5 linked regions of the Coturnix japonica genome follow. The protein of the gene in region 1 binds, or shares a complex with, the protein of each later gene. Links are inferred from orthologs where the notes say so. Each region holds a gene or a part of one and is shown on either strand. Other genes may lie near its edges.

Region 1 (3,500 bases):
AGCACTTAGAATTGTTAAGTCAATTGCTACCAAAGCTTACATTATTACAACTGAAGACTTTAAGAGTCTCTAAAAGAAATCTATGAAAGCAAGGAGGTTTGGATTTCAGGATGAAAATCCTGGTTTGACAATCCATCCTTAACTCACCGCGTCGATATGGTAGGGGTCTCCAAACAGCAAACAGTATGCGCTCCATCTCGTCTGAAAAATCTAGGCACAATGGGGGTTGAGTTAAGGAAAGAATGTCAGACCCAGCGCTCAGCCTTTACGAGAATCTATTTCAGATTCAAAAATGTACCTTCTTAGCAGCATGTTATAGATTTACTGAGCATTCCTGGAGGATAAGTTGTTCTTACACTATTATCTCCTTTTCACTACTGTTTGGCTGAGGAATAAATTACATGATGCAAGTTCTCTCCCCTTGTTCAATCCTCCAAGAATGCTACAAAAGGTAACTTTTGAGGCCAATTCGGTAGACAGCATTACCCTCTTAGAATATTTGCTCAATTGGTTGCTCCCCCTCCCACCACCATCATTTCATGTACCTGCAAAGACCTTAGATTTACAGCAGAATAATCCAGGTTTTTCAAACTATTTGCAGATGTTTTGGTTTTCAGAAGCCATCTTGCATTTAGTTGTAAGCAGAACACAAGCAGCAGTAGCCCATTCAATAACACAACAGCATTACAACTTTGTATCACTGCTAGGTTAGATCAAAGCATTGCCTCTCCCTCAGCCTTCAGGTCAGGAAGAAAAATAGGGAGACCTTAATGGAAGAACCAGAGGTCTAATTTAGAAGGATGCCGGTAATAGCTAGAGACTAGGAGCAAGATCAGTGCAACAAGCATGAGGCCCTGTTATCTTTCACATCAGAAGACTGCTGTTCCAGTGACCAGAGTTTTCCTTCCTCCCCCTCACTACATTAATAATCCACTGTTTAGAAATTAATTTTTCCAACCACCAAGAAGAGCTTCAGAGTTAGTTTACTGCATGTTTTTCTACACAAGGAACAATCCCTCATGCTTACTATAAGTGACGATAGCAAAAAGCAAAGCCACTCCCTTCAGCCAACTGGTTTCAATTGGAGAGTAAAGACAGACCTGGTAACGTGCTTTTGAGCTTTGGAATTGAACAGAAGTTTAAGATGAAGTCCATTTTGCTGTGCCAGTCTACCTTAGATATAGATTATACATGGTTGAGAGAATTAAGACTACTTTGAATTCTATGCAGTTCTAGTGTAGGTTAGCATTTAGCATTTTCTCAGCTGGAAAGAGCAAGCTAACCCACTGCAATCAGCCTGCGCCTCTAACATTACCAAAACTGGTAGTAAAGGGAATCTAGTCCTGAAGGAACTGTTGAGACATTCTCTGCAAGGCATTTGGTAGAGTCACGAAAAACATTTTCAGTTGAGCCATCACTACCTATTTTAAAGAATTAATTCTACTTCCAGAGGCTAAAATACAAATAGACTCAAGTGCAACAACCTCTCAATTAGCCCCATTAGTAATTGTCGCAATTTAGATGCTTTGATTAGTTTATAATGACATGCGTTAAGAACTCTGTAGAGGCCCATCCCAAGCTGAGAAAGCACACAAAACCAGTGTAGCTAAGGCACCTCACAATCTGCAGCAGTAGAACAAGGGATTTTGTATGTAGCACTGTGACCAGATCCATGTGAAACTCCATTCCAAAGACCAAGATACAATTTACAGCCTTGGGTAGAGTTTGGCCAACTCCACAGCTAAATCTACACTCAGGATCAACAGCAACAAGGCCTTCATCCACTGCCACCACACTTCTCAAACCAATGAAACATTTTGTAACACAAAGATGCCCCTAAAAGAGGCATGAAACATGAGCCAATTTCTCCTAGGAAATGATGCCATCTCAGCAGCTCCCTCACAAAGATGAGAATCACAAATGAAGTCAGGAGTTCAAAACATCACATCGGTAACGAGCACCTACATAATTAAATCAGTACTGGTCCAGCAGAGGAGTTTCATGGCACATAAGCAAAGCAGAACTGTACTGACTGTTTAAGAACCTAAGTGTAAGGCCATACATCTTATTGTGAAAAAAACAAAAAAGATGAAATGAAAGAAAACTGAAAGTTACATTTTGTGTTTTTTCTCCTAACGAACATCTGAGCTTGCTTCTGGTCTCTTCAGGTGCAAAAATGTTTTAACAGCATACGTGTTCAGATTTGGCAAAAAAGACAGCAAAATAAAGGCTTCCTAAAGGCAATTTTTAAATTGCACAGTAAGAGGGCAAGGCATTTTAAGGACTTTTTTCTGCATCAGTGCTTGGGCTCCATAGAAGAACTAAAAAATTCTGCTCAATTTCACTGAGATAAACAAGAAAACTTACCAGATCTGAGTGCCAATTCACTAACTTGAGGGAAATAGTATTCAAAAGAACTATAAAATTAACATCCAACCTATTCAGTACCTTGATTCATTATTAAACATTGTTCCATCTTAGAAAATGGTTTTAATACAGTACTGCAACAAAGGCCTTTCAGATACCACAAAAGTAAACCTCTGTACAGGTTGTGTCAGGAGTAATAGAATGGAGGTTAAACTGTAAGAAAATACCATTCAAAGATCAGTAGAATGACTTATAAGCAACAGTTTTTAAATAAAAAGCCTCTTACACTTCAACATTTTTCTGCTGCAGACCAGATGTCTTCTTGCCTGGAGCAGCACCTCTCATCTTCCCCTCTGCATATTGTTCCCTTTGAAAAGAATAAATTTGGCAATAAGTCTAACTGAAAAAGAAGCATGTTTTCCCTCAAAAGGTCAACAGTTACACAAACATTTAGAGAACAGATAGCAAATAATTCAGAAGAACAAATCTACTAAATAGCAAGATGATTTTAGGCTTATACATATAACAAACCCTTCAAGGTATAACCTCCCATTTACACCTCCTCCCACAATCCTTGTTATTCAGTGACCAGGAAGCAACAGCAAACCACTGCTATAAAAAGTAAGATACGATACGAAGAAAAGGCTGTTTAGGACCAAGTCCAGAAAGTTTTTAAGTGTTTCCTAGGAAGACTGACCTCACTGCTTAGAAGTACATTGTAAGGATACTGCAGGAGGGTTGTTTTTAGTCTCCTCACTCCCGCATTATATAACATGTTTCCAGTTAGTCACTGTGCCTGCCTATCTCATTGTCCTTCTCTTCATTAAAATCTCAAGTCAGTTTTAAAACTAAGGAGCAGTTCACTCTTTAAGCTTCTGGAGCACAAAGACCAGCCCCCCGCCCCCCCAAGTCAAAGCACCTCAAGAATAAAAAGACAAATGCATACTTCTTGAAGGTGTTTGTTGAGTTTTTTTGTTGTGAACTTACCAACCTCCTTTGATATACTGCAGTTGGATTGAAGCTCCAGAGAACAAGTGATTCTGCTGAGAACAACTTCTAAGACAAAATACTTACTGATTGGCTTTTTGAAGTTCTTTTTGTTTCTGCAAATTGGTATCCACGTATTTGAGCAC
Region 2 (2,611 bases), on another chromosome or scaffold:
TACCACACCTCCTCCAATATTTCCTCCAATATTTCCTCATTTCACAACACTTTTCATCACTTGCTCTTGAAATCACGGACAGAAACATAGGGATTGCAGAAATAACTCATGACTCTCAGACCCATCTCTGGGTTGATGTACATCCCCAGAGCTGAAGTCTAATCAATGGACTTAGTTAAAGAAACATAATAACAGTAAATTGTTCACATGAAGATGCAGGACCTATTCCAATCTAAAAACACATTCTGCACATCTTTGGTACTGGAACTTTATGTGGTATCTTGAGATCCTCCAAAAGACACCAGCCGCCCTTCTGCAGGGTGCAGCATTCTCACCTTCTCTGAAGCATCTTGCTTGCGAGTGGAGTCTCGCCCACGCAGGCTCTTTGCGCTGATCCCCGACTCTGACGTTTGCATGATCAGTTGTGTAGCCAGAAATTGCTGCAGGAAAACCATACTCTGTTAAGATTCTCTAGCAAAACAAGCTCAGTTAAAGCTTGTCAGCTATCACAAACCACAGGGCTGGGAACGAATGGGTCAGAGACAGTTTCAGTTCCTTGTTTGCTGCTCAGAATAAGTTTCCCCATTCACCTCAGCAGCCACAAGTCTGGAGGGACTATAAAAATCCAGTTCAAACTATGACAGCCCTGGCAGCTGGGACGTTCTGCTTCAGAAGAAATTCTAATGATACATATTCAAAGGACAATCTCAGGACAGTTTTGTATGTGCCTCAAGCCAGCACAGACTGACAGTCACCAAAAGCAGCAGCTGCGTCCCTTGTCATTCACTGATCTTGTTGCTCATTTCTGTTCCTGAACCACACCCCAGTTCTTGCTGGCCTAAGCATATGTGCACCCCCAAAGGAAATCAGGTTTGAAATTAGTCTGGGCTAAGCCAAACAAACATCTCACTGTGTTAGTTTTAACAATCCAGTTCACCACAAACACCTAAGCTAGTACAAGCAGGCAAAGATGGGGATTCATTTGAAGACACTGTGAGTGAAACTTCATTTTCACTTCCAGAAGTCTTTCCTGTACCTGTGGACCAATGCAGACAACTCTGTTCTGAAACAGCCTCAGCTCAGTACTTTACCTGGATCTGTTCCAGGACATCTCGCTGCATCTCTACAGCCATATGGTACACATCGTGGTCAGAGCTATTGTACATAACTGCATTTTGAAACATCAGCATAATGTCACGCTGGAACTCAGCTGTGGTTCGTATCAGTCCATTCTCAATGTTCTTCTTGATGGTAGATAAATCCATCGGCCTATGAAATACATTCAAAATAGCAATGCAAACATGTAACTCTCTCCTTTCTCATTTGCAGTCTAAGGACTAAAACATATCTAATTAGACCATCTATTTAATTTAGCAGAATATGTTCCCACATAGGCTGCATTCCTGAGTTCCAAGGCTTCAGATCAGGAGACACAATCTGCTCAGCAGTTAACAGGAATGGTAAGTACATGTAACAGCTGCCTCAAGAGAGGCATTTGCCTTCTCCAAGCATTCCGTGTGACACAAGGGAGCCACAGCTACAACCACTGGACTATTTAGGCACATTTTGGTAACTCTTCCATAATCTAGACTTTCTGAGGCAATAAAAGAGCTGATTAAAGAATCCGGGTTGTGGGAACATCACACCTTAAATTCAACCCTTGGACAATAACAGAGAAGCTGATAGTCACATACCACTTCACTGATAAAAAAATGTTCTGGTCAAATCTGTATTTCATTCAAGGACAGGGCTGTGTACAGACTTGTATGTGTTACTGAAGGTGTCCCTTTTTCTTAGGGAAATACAATGAATGATGTCAGAAGAAAGGTATTTTTCAAGTTTTGCAGTCTGAACAATGGATGAACTCTAGACTCTTCCTGGCAGAAATTCTTACGCAAATACACCAGAGTTCTTGTCACATAAGAATGCTGAGACTCACCTCTGCACAATACTGTGGTAGCCTGGTGCTATATCGTCAGTCACAGGCTGCAGGAAGACATTGGCATACCTAAAGAGATAGAGAGAGATTCCAGTGAATGCCCTGCCCCTGCCAATAGAGGAACAATTCTCAAATACTTGTGTCATGCTCTCATGTTTATTTGTCTGCTATCACTAACAGTGTGATTCATCATCTCCCCATAACAAGGCAGGTAAAGCCTCAGAGCTGGGAAAGTACAGACTTGCCTGAGATTAGTCACTTCTTTCTGCCAGTTCTCAAGACATCAAACTCACCTGTGATTAGCCGCTGCTCTCCAAACCAGCATGATGGCTTTCTTCCAGATCTTCTGAGCCTGTATTGCTTCCTGATCCTCACTGCACACTGAGCTGAGAAAAAAACAGAATATGATTTCCTCTGTGAATCTCCATACTGCCCTGGCGCAGAAACCTTACGGTTCATTTTGCCTTTGTCATGCTTACAGTAACCCAAGCCAGAGAGAAATATAAAAAATGGGACCTGGCACTACAGCACTGTTTGAACACCTGCACTTCTGAGTAAGGACAATCTAGTGCCAGACAAATCATCAACAAATTCCCCCACTGGACCCACTCAGCAAAACAGAAATGAGAATCCTGCACTCCCCCCAGGAAACAGCCTGGGATTTGCACCTGT
Region 3 (3,500 bases), on another chromosome or scaffold:
ATTAAGCAAACTAAAGAGTAACATCACCACTCCAGCATCTTAATAGTGACACAAGCAGACCTCTCAAGAATATTTCTATCTCACAGCTATTAACTGGAATGTTTAAACTGTAAGTTGGAATTAAGCACCATTTGTTCTACTGCCATCCCACACAGAACACCCAATCAAGCACATTTTCTGTAGCTATATCCTAAAATGCTGCAGTTTGCTCAAGTCACAGCACCTAACGACTCTGTTACTGCCATTACTCACTTTGTTAACTTTATATTCTTTCAGTTCCATCGTTTCTTGATGTTTGAAAGGACTGCTGTTAGTCACAGGAATGATGGGAATAGCGTAAGTAGGTTTCATTGGCTGCCGCTGTGCCATGACCTCAGACACAATCTCTCCACTGTAATCACCCAAATTATACCTGTAATTTAAAAAGTGTAAAAGAACAAGACTGCTTTAAATATTGCTAGTGCTTGTCTGGTAAAAACACAGAACAACATGCAACAGTTAAACACAGAGTAACAGCACTTCCCATTTGGGGTAAGAAGGACTTCCAAGATGTCAGCAACAAGTTCAAAAATGACTATTGCAGGAGACCAACAGCACGCAGATTTTTTCTGCCATGCCCAGTTCTGACAAGGGGAACCATCTGTAATACACCCAACATAACATAATGCAAAGGGTTCTACAGAGAGGCAGAGCCTTGTGCACAAATCCCCTCTGTGCAACAGCACAGCTTTGTAAGATGTAGAACCATGAAACATATTGCATTTCAAGATCTGTGCTAATTTGATGGTCTGGATTTTTTTAGTCATTTTAGCCTTCAAGAGTTCACCTGCTTAGAAAAGCCAGTGCGTCTCTCTACTGGGCATGGTCAGTGCTTAAAAAAGAGCACCTGTTAGAAAGGACTGAGACACTCAGCTCGTGTTCCCAAGATCTCAAACTAAATCACAAGCTGTTTTGTTTTAGAGCCTTACAGCACTGACTCAAAATGTTTTAAGTTTTCAAACATGGATGCTTAGATCTGAGAAGTCCATTCAGATTCTAAATATCAACTGCTAAACAACCAACCCTACATCTCAAATGTGATTCTCAACTCATTGGGAAAGTGACAACTGACAAAGTGGAGCATTTGGTCTCTGCACAGCTGTTGAACAGGATGTCAACAGAAACAAGTTGGAAACAACTCCCAGAACAGTACATTGTGCTGAATGAAATGCTTGTTTTCTTTGACAGGATATTCCCTCATCTACACAGTTATTAAGTTTAACATTTCCATAGGAATTTACCTGAAGCTATAGTCTTCCTTACTACATAATACACAGGACGTAAGATAATTATGTTTTAACACACACGTAATAGAACAAAGCACATTAGCGATACCCATTTTGAAAAAGCAGCCTGCTTTTTTTTCAGTAACTCCCTAAATTCAATTCTGCTCTTCAGTGTCATAAAAGAGAATAGAATATGCCATATTGTTAACAAAGCAAAATGCAAATCTCTTTGCTAAGACAATATCGCATATTATATAAAACATTCATAGGAGCTGACATCTATAGCAGTTTCTGAAGCTTTCTGCAGCACATCTGCAATAACCATTACCTCTTTTCGATAATTTCCAGTGTTAAATGCAGCAATTCCCTCTTGCTCTTTTCCCTCCTCTTTATCATCTCCAGGATGGTTACTGCACGGCTCAGGTCTCGCCGCAGTTTAAGCATCTTCTCATAGGACGCTTCATCATTTTTTCGATTCTGTAGAGGCAAAGTGGTTCATGTTTTCCCACATCATTTAAATAACATAACCTGAACTAAACTAAACTGTAAGTGTTCAGTTCTTTTAAAACATGTGCTAAAACAAATTTAGAGAAACGTGTGCATCTACCAATCAGCTACAGCTTTCTACCATCACAAGTAGGTTTAGCAGCCAATTTAGAGAGAAAATAAATACTGAATACAAACTTCCTTCAGTAACTGGTCTCAAGTGCTTCATCTTTTTTTCCATCCCCCCCCTTACAAATTAAAAGAGAAAAAACACAAAAAGGCATCTTGTATTGTTTTACACTACGTAGCAAGTTTGTCTCTTCAGATAAGCTCTTATGAGAGGGAGGAGAAAGAAGAGGAAACAAGTAACAGGGAAGTATTAATCTACTTACTTTCCTTGTCTGCATCTTTTCTGTTCGTCTCCTAAAAGCAACGTAAGGATCATTTGTGCTGGAGCCATCTCGCTTCTCTTGTTTCACCGCTGGGATAAGAGAGGGCCCTCGACAGTTTTTCCTCTTTTTAATCCAGTACTCGTATACTTCTCTGATCAATTCATCGTCTTCTTTCAGCAACAGCTTGGCCTCTTGCAGGCTGACTGGCTAAATGTAAAACCCAGTATGTCATTGTCATAAGGCATCACAGACAAAGCGTATTTCAGAATTCTTTATTCAAAGCAACCCCATACCTGCTGGCCGCTGCCCTTCTCTAGTCGGTCTATCATCTCTTCAAATTGCAAAGGAGAGATATCCATCCTTTTCTTCAACTTATTGACAAAGACCTCATCTTCTGAATCCATGTCATAATCCGGCTGCTCAGCGTCCAAACTAAAAGCTGAATGATACAATTCAAGCTCAAGTCACTGATCTACTACAGAAACGTTCTGTTCTAACAGCAGTGTCTGCAATACGTGCCAGATTCTTCTGAAGACAAAACCAAAATGATGTTTGCACACTGTGCTAACACTACTCAGAAGTAGCATCTGCCTTTCTATTGAAATATCAAAGATAGACACTGATATCTACATAAACATGCTCATTTTAACTAATGAAAACTTTACAGTGTCTCTATATAGATATATATAGGTATTCATCCCCATTAGATCCAGTGAGAATCAGCTGGATTGGTCAAACCTTCCACCATCTCATGTTCCATAACTGTCCATGTTGTAGCATTCATGTCAGAAGTTAAGACTCCAGCTTAAATGCATTAAGAAGCTCCTAGAGAACTACGTGCACAGCGTAACAGAGACCTCACAAATCACAATGACTTGTGATAAAAAAGGTGTCAGACCAAACTCGTCCAACAGCATCTCCTATGTATGCATTGTAGCAAGGGACCTTCAAATATAAATCACGTATAGCAGAACAAGCTGTTCAGTTTTCCACAACATCCTCTGAAAATACAACATTCAGCATCCAGCACATCCCTGGATCTCAGTTTCATGCCAACTGCTTTGGTTCCCAAGAATACTAATTTCTTAAGGATTCATTCCACACTGTGAAAAGCATCACTGGCTTTTAAAAGATGCAGCTGAATGTTGTCATAGCAACTGAGAGACCACCAGAAGAAAAGGAAGAGTCAAAAACTGCACCTTGGTATCAGCACATAAGACTCCTGGTATTAGTCTCTCCATTTGCTTATTAGAGCATGCTGTTCTGCTGCTACTTCAGCTTATTACTGAAGATCAGACTGACAGAGAAGCTTAACATTAAGCCAGTTATCAACACATAATTACACATATGTACACAC
Region 4 (3,500 bases), on another chromosome or scaffold:
CTCCAAAGCAGGGAATTTTCTGAAGTTCCAGTTTGGCAGACAGGGCTCTGTAAACATTTGCTGGAGCGTTCCAAGACAACAGATATCCACGTAGAGACAAAAGAGCTGTAGTCCCAATCCAGTGCCCACTGCAGCTGACGAACACAAGGCTACCGATATTACTGGGCACTGATTCAGACCCTAAGGAACTACGTATTTCAATTAAAAAAAGCATCATATAAAAAAAACATTTTAAACTAAATAGAAACATATTGAAAAGGTTAAAAAAAAACAACCTCCCCCAGGTGATGGCTCCACTGCAACTGGGGCTACTCACCAAGTAGAGCTTTACAGGGCGATCCTCCTCCTACCATCTGCGCCTTCACATCAGGGCTCAAACGCCTTCTTTCACAATTCAAAATGAACAGAGGTGTGACCGGTGCAGTTCACAAGAGTTTTAAGTATCTCCCAATTTGTACCAACAAGGTTCACTTGTCGTGACAGTTCATTTGTATTTGCAACTACATCTTCCTCCAAGCGCTTCCACCATCATGCTATTTAAACTTTCATCTTACCAAAAAAATTAGATTCTCAGTTCTTGTTAACAATGCACAATAGATCTGAACTTGAAAATATTACAAAACTCTTGCAAAAGCTTCAAATACAACACAAAAAGTGTCCGTTCTCCTTTTTAATAAATTGAAAAAATCTTTTTTTTCACTAAAATAGTTTCCCCGCCCTTCTAAAAGATTTCTGAACTGAGTCAAACTCTGCAGGTAGCAAAGTGCCCCCGGCGCAGCCATCCGCGCTGCACCATAAAGTGGGAACAAAACCAGTCAGTCTCGGAGAAAGGCTCTTTTCCTGTCACCAATCCCATGCCCTCACTTTCCCGAGCTGCCTTATGGTTCTTGCTTTATGTAGTAGCTGGCAGATCCGTTGCTCTCCTGATCAGAGGCTCCTTGCAGGAAGCTGTACTCCTCCCCATCCAGCATCTCCTCCTTCAGCTGCAGTGAAGTCACTAGAAATGAAAGATGAACAGTAAGGATCTGTAACATCCACAGTAAGCACAACTCACCCCTCAGTTTACTTTACATGATTTCAATTGGGAACAGACCCCAGATTTCCCATTGTAGAGATTCTTCTTTTAATGTACAGCATCACACAGAAAACAGCAATAATGGCACAACTGCTTTCCCATTTTGTTAATGGACAACGATAATTACTAAAATATGAGCAGAGGGAAAATAAATGAGGCAGACCAGCATTTCCTTTAAAGGTGCAGTACCCACATTTAGGGCTTGATCACACAAAAATAAACAGATCTCTCAGAATGAAAAGACTACTAAAGCCTATGGATACCAAATACAACATTTACACACACAGCAACATATCTTCAAATACAGAAATATAATGGAATAAAGCTAAGAATGAAGTCCATAACCTCCCATTAGTACTTGGAGCCCTGCTGCACCTCACAAGCCATTTGATTATTCCCTCATCACATTCAAGGAAGTTTTAAACAAGTGCAAATTGAGCAAATGTGAAGCTAAATCTATCAGCCTGTCAGATCACAGCACTGCACTGTACCAGAGATCACCTGTGCAGCTCTATATTGCCATGCAGATTAGGAAACAGATTAGGAAAAGGACAGCAAAAGTTACCAGATCTTTGCTGCAGCCTTCTATAACCAAGGACTGATTAATTGCACACAGCAGCCTTCAGCAAGCTCAGCATTTTTATATACTTCCTCAGTATTACTGCTGAATTCTTCCCTTCATTTCTGCTTGTTCACACTCAGATTCAAAACTGCACATTTGATACATCAACCCAACAGGCTGATGCTCTGATTCTGGTAGGAGGAAACCTCTCATTACAGCACATCAGGAACACAAGCAGTTGAATACCGTCTCCACCACTTTCAGCTACATCAACGCTGAAGCTGGTAATGCTTACATGCTCCCAGCACTGTCTGACAAAAGTCTTGTCCTTAGATAGTCAAGATCGTATGGATTCTAATGGTAAGAAAAGCCTCATGTTCTTTCTTAGAACAGGATTTTGTATAAAAAAACCTCTCCTAAAGTCATATTAAAGGACAGTTACAGATTTCTGTCATCCAGTCTTGCTGACTTGCACTTAAGGTAACTTTCAGCATCCAAGACATTGATTTTATGGCTTGCTAGGCTGCCCCATTAGAAAATAGATTGGCACAGAAGCAAAGCAAATTGCTAAATCAAGACAACACATTATAGACCTTTGCTGTAGCTGATCTGTCCTTGTGTTGGCAGCACAAAGTACTGCAACTTTGCACTCCACTCTTCCAAGACAGCACCAAGAGAATGAGTCAGCAGAGTGAGCTGATGCTCCAAAAATAACAAATATAGTTGGGTTGCCTTGAATGAGGTCACAGACAGCGTCACAAAAGTATGCGGATGGAAGAGTGCAAAATATGCACTTGTGCAAATCTAAACTCTGATTGCTTGAGATTTGAGAAAAACTGATTCTGAGATGAACAATTACTATGGGAAGAATCTGAACGGAGCTGTCAGAAAGCTCAGATTTTTAAGAGTAGTAACTATGATGCCTCCCCTGCAACAAAAGGTCACAAAAAGCAATGCTATTATTTGTCTCCAACAGTCGCCAAAGTAGTTTTATTTACATGCTGCTTCTCAATGAAGAACAAGCCACCTTTTGCTCAGGCGTCTGAGAGTTTGGTGTAAGGTGCTGTTCCAACTTACTCAATGCACTCTTTACATTAAGATCTGAATTCCAGCAATATTAACGTATTAACCTAAAGCTCACATTCTGCTAATGAGATCGACCCTGCTGCAAGTTATTAAAAAAAAAACAACAGATATTGTCTTGTTATTCCTAAAATTCCTTTTATGGCATACTGCACCTTTAAGCCTAACACCTGTTTTACATACAAACAGCACTTCAAGTAGAAGAGAGACTTAGGGAGAGACTACAGCTTTTTAAGCAACAGGGAAATTGCAAACACTGTTTTGTCACCCACTTTTCTTATGTCCTTTGTACTGTTGTGATTTTGATTTTTTCTTCTGTTTTGATGAACTTGACTGGTTATCTCTTGATGCTGCAAAAAAGCGTGGAGTACAAAATTAAAGTTGACTATTTTGGAAACACACTTCAGAACACGACAAAGCTTTTTTGAGAAACTACAATCAAACTACTATCACTGGTCAGTACTACTAACAGCACTAGTGTTACTCTTCCTACCACCTTCCAATTATGCAACTAATATTCATGAAACCGTTATTAATTACCACAAAAACTGACCTAACAGGCCAAGTTCTCATGTACTGAATGAAGTCTTCTCACACCAACACTTTTGCACAGCAATAGCCAAGCACATGCCGAGGTCCATCCCATTCAGCATGCAAAGCAGATCTATTTGCTAACTTCAATCACTACAAATTCTCTCTCCAGACTTGTTCCATAATTAATACAGGCTTTTTTTTCCCCTTACATCAAATAAGCATCTTCTGGCAACAAAACAGTGAACT
Region 5 (3,747 bases), on another chromosome or scaffold:
GGAAGGCGGGTGGGGGTTATTTTTGTGGTTGCATTTGTACAGCTTTAACCTGGAGCAGATGTGCTGATGGGTTTTGGAACTGGAATCGTGCACTCCAAGGGCTGTTGTGTGGAGCACACGAGTAGCTGAAGCTGGGTCTGGACCTCGGTTTTGCACACCTCTCATGGCAAAGGTGCTGCTAGGAACAAACCAACACAGAGCTGAAAGGCTGAGTGAACTGTGTCTGCTTAGCCTTGAGAAAAGAAGACTGAGAGAGGACCTGATCCAGGTCTATGAATATCTGAGGTGGGGGGGGGGGGGTCAAAGTGGGGAGACTAGACTCTTTTCAGCAGTGTGTGGAGACAGGACAAGGGGAAATGGACAGAAAGTGGTGTATAGGAAGTTCCAGCTGCATTTTTCTACCATTGAAAATTGAGTTTCAAGCACATGACAGTCAGTTCTGGGGGTTATCAGAAGGCATAAATGAAATCTTAAACCCATTTAGAACAGTGAGACCTGCAGACTTTTAAAATCAGTATTTTATTTGACTTGGATGTGCAAATAAATATTAAAAAAACAACAAACAAACTACATTCAAAGAGCTGGCAAAGCAATTATAAGCCCAAAAGCAAAGATCCTTCAAAAAGATGGAAGAACAAACTCTTGATTCGAGGTGGTGCTTGCAGGTACAACAGCTGAGCTTAAACTCTCAGACATCAGCAAAGCACTCTCAGACCTGCACTGCCCACTTATCCCATCACTTCACATCATTTGCTACCACTGTTTTTGAGACAACAGCACTACGAAGGGCCACAGTCTGTCGTAATCTGTTCAAGATCATAAATTAGAAGTTTACAAAATAAGGATGCTTAAAAATACCTGAAGTACACTTAAAAAATGGGGAGATGGAACAGGATGGCACACAGGTGTGTTACCCTCATGGGACACCTGGAATCAAATGCATTTTAAGCCACGAGTTGCAACCTATTGTCTAGTAAACATTTTTCTGTATCATAAAACCATAAAATTTGGCACAGTTATCATCTCCACTGGAAGACAGCAGAGAGGTGAACAGGACTGAGGTGTATTCTGTTAAGCTGACTGGAAGAGAAAGGGTTACTGTGCTTTGCACTGGGCTCGATCCCCCTCTCCACCTCGCCCTCCCATATCTATGTGGACAGGGGGAGGAACCTCGGAGCTCATTTCAGTAACCAGAATTCAACAGACACTCAATGAGAACACGAAGAGAAGTTCTGCACTGGCAGTGGTTGTGCAAGTGGCCACAAATGCCAAAGAGTGGCCTCCTTCATTCCCTCCCACAGATTAATTTGCAAAAAAGACAAAGAGTCAGTACAGTTTTGTATTAAACATACCCCAAAGGCCAATTTTTCTACGGTCAAGTGAGACAATTGCAAAACCCAACGCTGTACAGTGGAAATAACCCAGGACAAATCCTACAGGCTGCTATTTAGGTTTCGCTGAAATTATAACCTAAAATCAAAGCCACAAAAAAAGTATCCAGGTTGGGGGGTTATTCCCTTAAGAGCCATGAAAAGCTGGAGGTTGAGCTGAAAGAGGCTGGACCTGCCTCAACACATTATGTTTGTCATATGCTCCATGAGAGTGCTTGCCTTTGGCCCCCAAAAACAACAGCAAAGTCACAGTGGGGCTGCAGGACAGACACAGCTGAATTTCCTTGATTTTTCAACAGGTTTAGTCTGACAGTTGATGCAGTTTTCTGCACGGTTCAGGTTACATTTTGCTTTGCTTCTATTCAATAAAGCTTGGGTAGAAGTAAGGAGGGTTTGGTGGAAAAGCTTCAGTGGTTGTGGCTGGATCTAATCCTCCCCATTACAGACTTCCGTGTGTCACTGCAAACACAGCATCTGCACTGACCTAACAGGAACAGCAGAATATCTGGGACAAAACTTCAGATCCAGAGCAAACACTGTGCTGCAAGAGCTCCATCTACTGCCGTTATTTAAGTGGTACAACCCAGCAGAACCGCAGAATCTGGGCACACACAAGGAAGAGTTTGCAGTCTCCAGGGGCTGCCAGTCAGCATGCAACATACCAAAAATAATCAGACCAGACCTCGCAGTGGATATCCTTCTCCACACACACGCTCCAAGCAGCTTCAGATCGGAGACAGCACTCTGCAGCAGGTCACAAATTCTCAGAGCAATGAGAGGGGCAGACAGACCGTGGGCCTTGGCTCCTCCCCAGCACTGCAGCTCACAGAGATTCTTCCCCTTAGTTCCCACTCCAGAATACTCAGTTGGTGAGCAGGAGTTAAGAGTGATCAGTATGCTGTTCACCTCTGCCTCACTTTCAACATTTTCTCACCGGAGCACCAGTAACAAACACTGCATTTGTTGCCTTATTAGTACACGCAGATAACGAAGCAGCCTGCAGCAAGGCTGGCAATCAGTGCCACGCTGGCACTTGGAGGTTACACTGAAGAGTTCTGCAGGCTTCAAGACGGCACAAATTCAGGAAGATAGGGCACATTAAACTTCTGAAAAGTGGAAGCAGCTGCCAGCATTTGCCAAGCACCAGCCAACTCCTGTCCAACAAAGCCACCAGTGGCAGATCACCAGGAGCCCAGCCCACTCGTTCTGCCTTCCTGTGTTGGCTGGCCAGCAGTGGCTTAAGGCTAGGAAACTACTAAAAAGTGTGTGGCAATGCCAAGAGCCCTCTTCCTTAAAGCTGTTCGGTCTCTTCATGATGACTGGAGGATTACACTGCAAGGAGACAAGTCTAGGCCATATGGAAAATACGTTATAATCCAAAGTAAAATGCTGTTTGGATAAATACCATTAATACATTACATTGCATTCCCACCACTATTCTCAGAGTAAATGTGTTTCACCAGCAAGTCCCAGGCACAAATTTCCTCAAGGTGAAGCTGGATGGCGACTGTACTGCACTCTGTATCTGTTCACAGGGACTCCATGGACATTCACTGTCTCACAAGTTGTTTTACAGGGCACCATCTCCTCATCTTCATCTCCCATTAGCCAATCTTGAACTACATCTACTGCCTCCATGGTCACATTCTCTTCAAGCCATCTGTTGTGCCACTCTTCAAACTGCTGGTGGTGCTTTAACAGCACCATTGGCTGTACCTGAAAGCAGAAAAGTAAAAAAATCACTGAGAGGTTTCTGGGCAAGAAGTCAAAACTTCCACCTCTTTGTATGTCCAAGACAGGCATGCTATACAACACAATACAAACAGAAAAGCCACACAGCTGCCTTTAAGGATCTCTATTTCTTAATGTTTGCCACTCCCCTTTAAAATTTGCAAAGAAAAACCTGCTGAACTAAACTAAAGCACAGAACATTTCCCATCTTTCTTCCTTGTTTCATCCGATGCAGAGGAGTAACTTCTGGATGCAGTTTGCAGAAATTCAGCTGCAAGACTTCTTATCAATACCTGTCTTTTGGCTGCAATCTTCTATCTCTGCTATAGTCTAAGCTACTGAGAGAGTAACAGGAGATGCACCTGCTTGGCTCGGCAGAGCGCTCCCCGCCTGTACATGTAATCCTCTGAGTTCATGATGAACATCATTTTGTGGGTGTTGAGCTTGAACCGACAGTCCACATTGCACGCGCTCTCAACCCCAATCAGTCTCTTCCAGGAGCTCTTCACCTCACTCCGCAGAGCTCTCACTTGCTTACATTGCCACTTGCGAAATTTCTTTAGGTTTCTGGAACGAAACAAAGATTATGAAGCATTTGTCACACGTGTTTACCCACTCTCTTTTT

Evidence for each region. The genes of interacting proteins can lie anywhere in the genome.
Region 2: MORF4L1 (region 1) and BRD8 share a complex: the UniProt entries of both Homo sapiens proteins name them as parts of the nuA4 histone acetyltransferase complex. The link is inferred for Coturnix japonica from reciprocal best matches to the Homo sapiens genes MORF4L1 and BRD8.
Region 3: MORF4L1 (region 1) and EPC1 share a complex: the UniProt entries of both Homo sapiens proteins name them as parts of the nuA4 histone acetyltransferase complex. The link is inferred for Coturnix japonica from reciprocal best matches to the Homo sapiens genes MORF4L1 and EPC1.
Region 4: MORF4L1 (region 1) and MBTD1 share a complex: the UniProt entries of both Homo sapiens proteins name them as parts of the nuA4 histone acetyltransferase complex. The link is inferred for Coturnix japonica from reciprocal best matches to the Homo sapiens genes MORF4L1 and MBTD1.
Region 5: the proteins of MORF4L1 (region 1) and SIN3B are in contact, whole or in part, in a cryo-EM structure (PDB 8BPA), measured with the Homo sapiens proteins. The link is inferred for Coturnix japonica from reciprocal best matches to the Homo sapiens genes MORF4L1 and SIN3B. Residues at the interface, in NP_996670.1 of Homo sapiens: Gln217, Gln219, Tyr222, Ser348, Tyr350, Glu351, Val352, Ala353, Pro354, Pro355, Tyr357, His358; in NP_056075.1 of Homo sapiens: Cys394, Arg396, Arg402, Ala403, Pro405, Lys406, Thr407, Tyr408, Ser462, Phe463, Pro464.

The regions. Positions count from the first base shown.
Region 1 is NC_029525.1:17,841,149-17,844,648, forward strand, and holds part of MORF4L1 (mortality factor 4-like protein 1), read right to left. Parts: coding exon 3,442-3,500; intron 2,735-3,441; coding exon 2,654-2,734; intron 211-2,653; coding exon 148-210; intron 1-147. UniProt on the Homo sapiens protein: Component of the NuA4 histone acetyltransferase (HAT) complex which is involved in transcriptional activation of select genes principally by acetylation of nucleosomal histones H4 and H2A.
Region 2 is NC_029528.1:11,890,451-11,893,061, reverse strand, and holds part of BRD8 (bromodomain-containing protein 8), read right to left. Parts: intron 2,326-2,611; coding exon 2,233-2,325; intron 2,009-2,232; coding exon 1,940-2,008; intron 1,270-1,939; coding exon 1,092-1,269; intron 441-1,091; coding exon 336-440; intron 1-335. UniProt on the Homo sapiens protein: May act as a coactivator during transcriptional activation by hormone-activated nuclear receptors (NR). Isoform 2 stimulates transcriptional activation by AR/DHTR, ESR1/NR3A1, RXRA/NR2B1 and THRB/ERBA2.
Region 3 is NC_029517.1:12,814,581-12,818,080, reverse strand, and holds part of EPC1 (enhancer of polycomb homolog 1), read right to left. Parts: intron 2,583-3,500; coding exon 2,437-2,582; intron 2,351-2,436; coding exon 2,144-2,350; intron 1,743-2,143; coding exon 1,594-1,742; intron 413-1,593; coding exon 253-412; intron 1-252. UniProt on the Homo sapiens protein: Component of the NuA4 histone acetyltransferase (HAT) complex, a multiprotein complex involved in transcriptional activation of select genes principally by acetylation of nucleosomal histones H4 and H2A.
Region 4 is NC_029533.1:8,733,043-8,736,542, reverse strand, and holds part of MBTD1 (MBT domain-containing protein 1), read right to left. Parts: intron 3,071-3,500; coding exon 2,993-3,070; intron 998-2,992; coding exon 879-997; 3' UTR 1-878. UniProt on the Homo sapiens protein: Chromatin reader component of the NuA4 histone acetyltransferase complex, a multiprotein complex involved in transcriptional activation of select genes principally by acetylation of nucleosomal histones H4 and H2A.
Region 5 is NC_029543.1:3,313,383-3,317,129, forward strand, and holds the end of SIN3B (paired amphipathic helix protein Sin3b), read right to left. Parts: intron 3,690-3,747; coding exon 3,485-3,689; intron 3,108-3,484; coding exon 2,877-3,107; 3' UTR 501-2,876; downstream 1-500.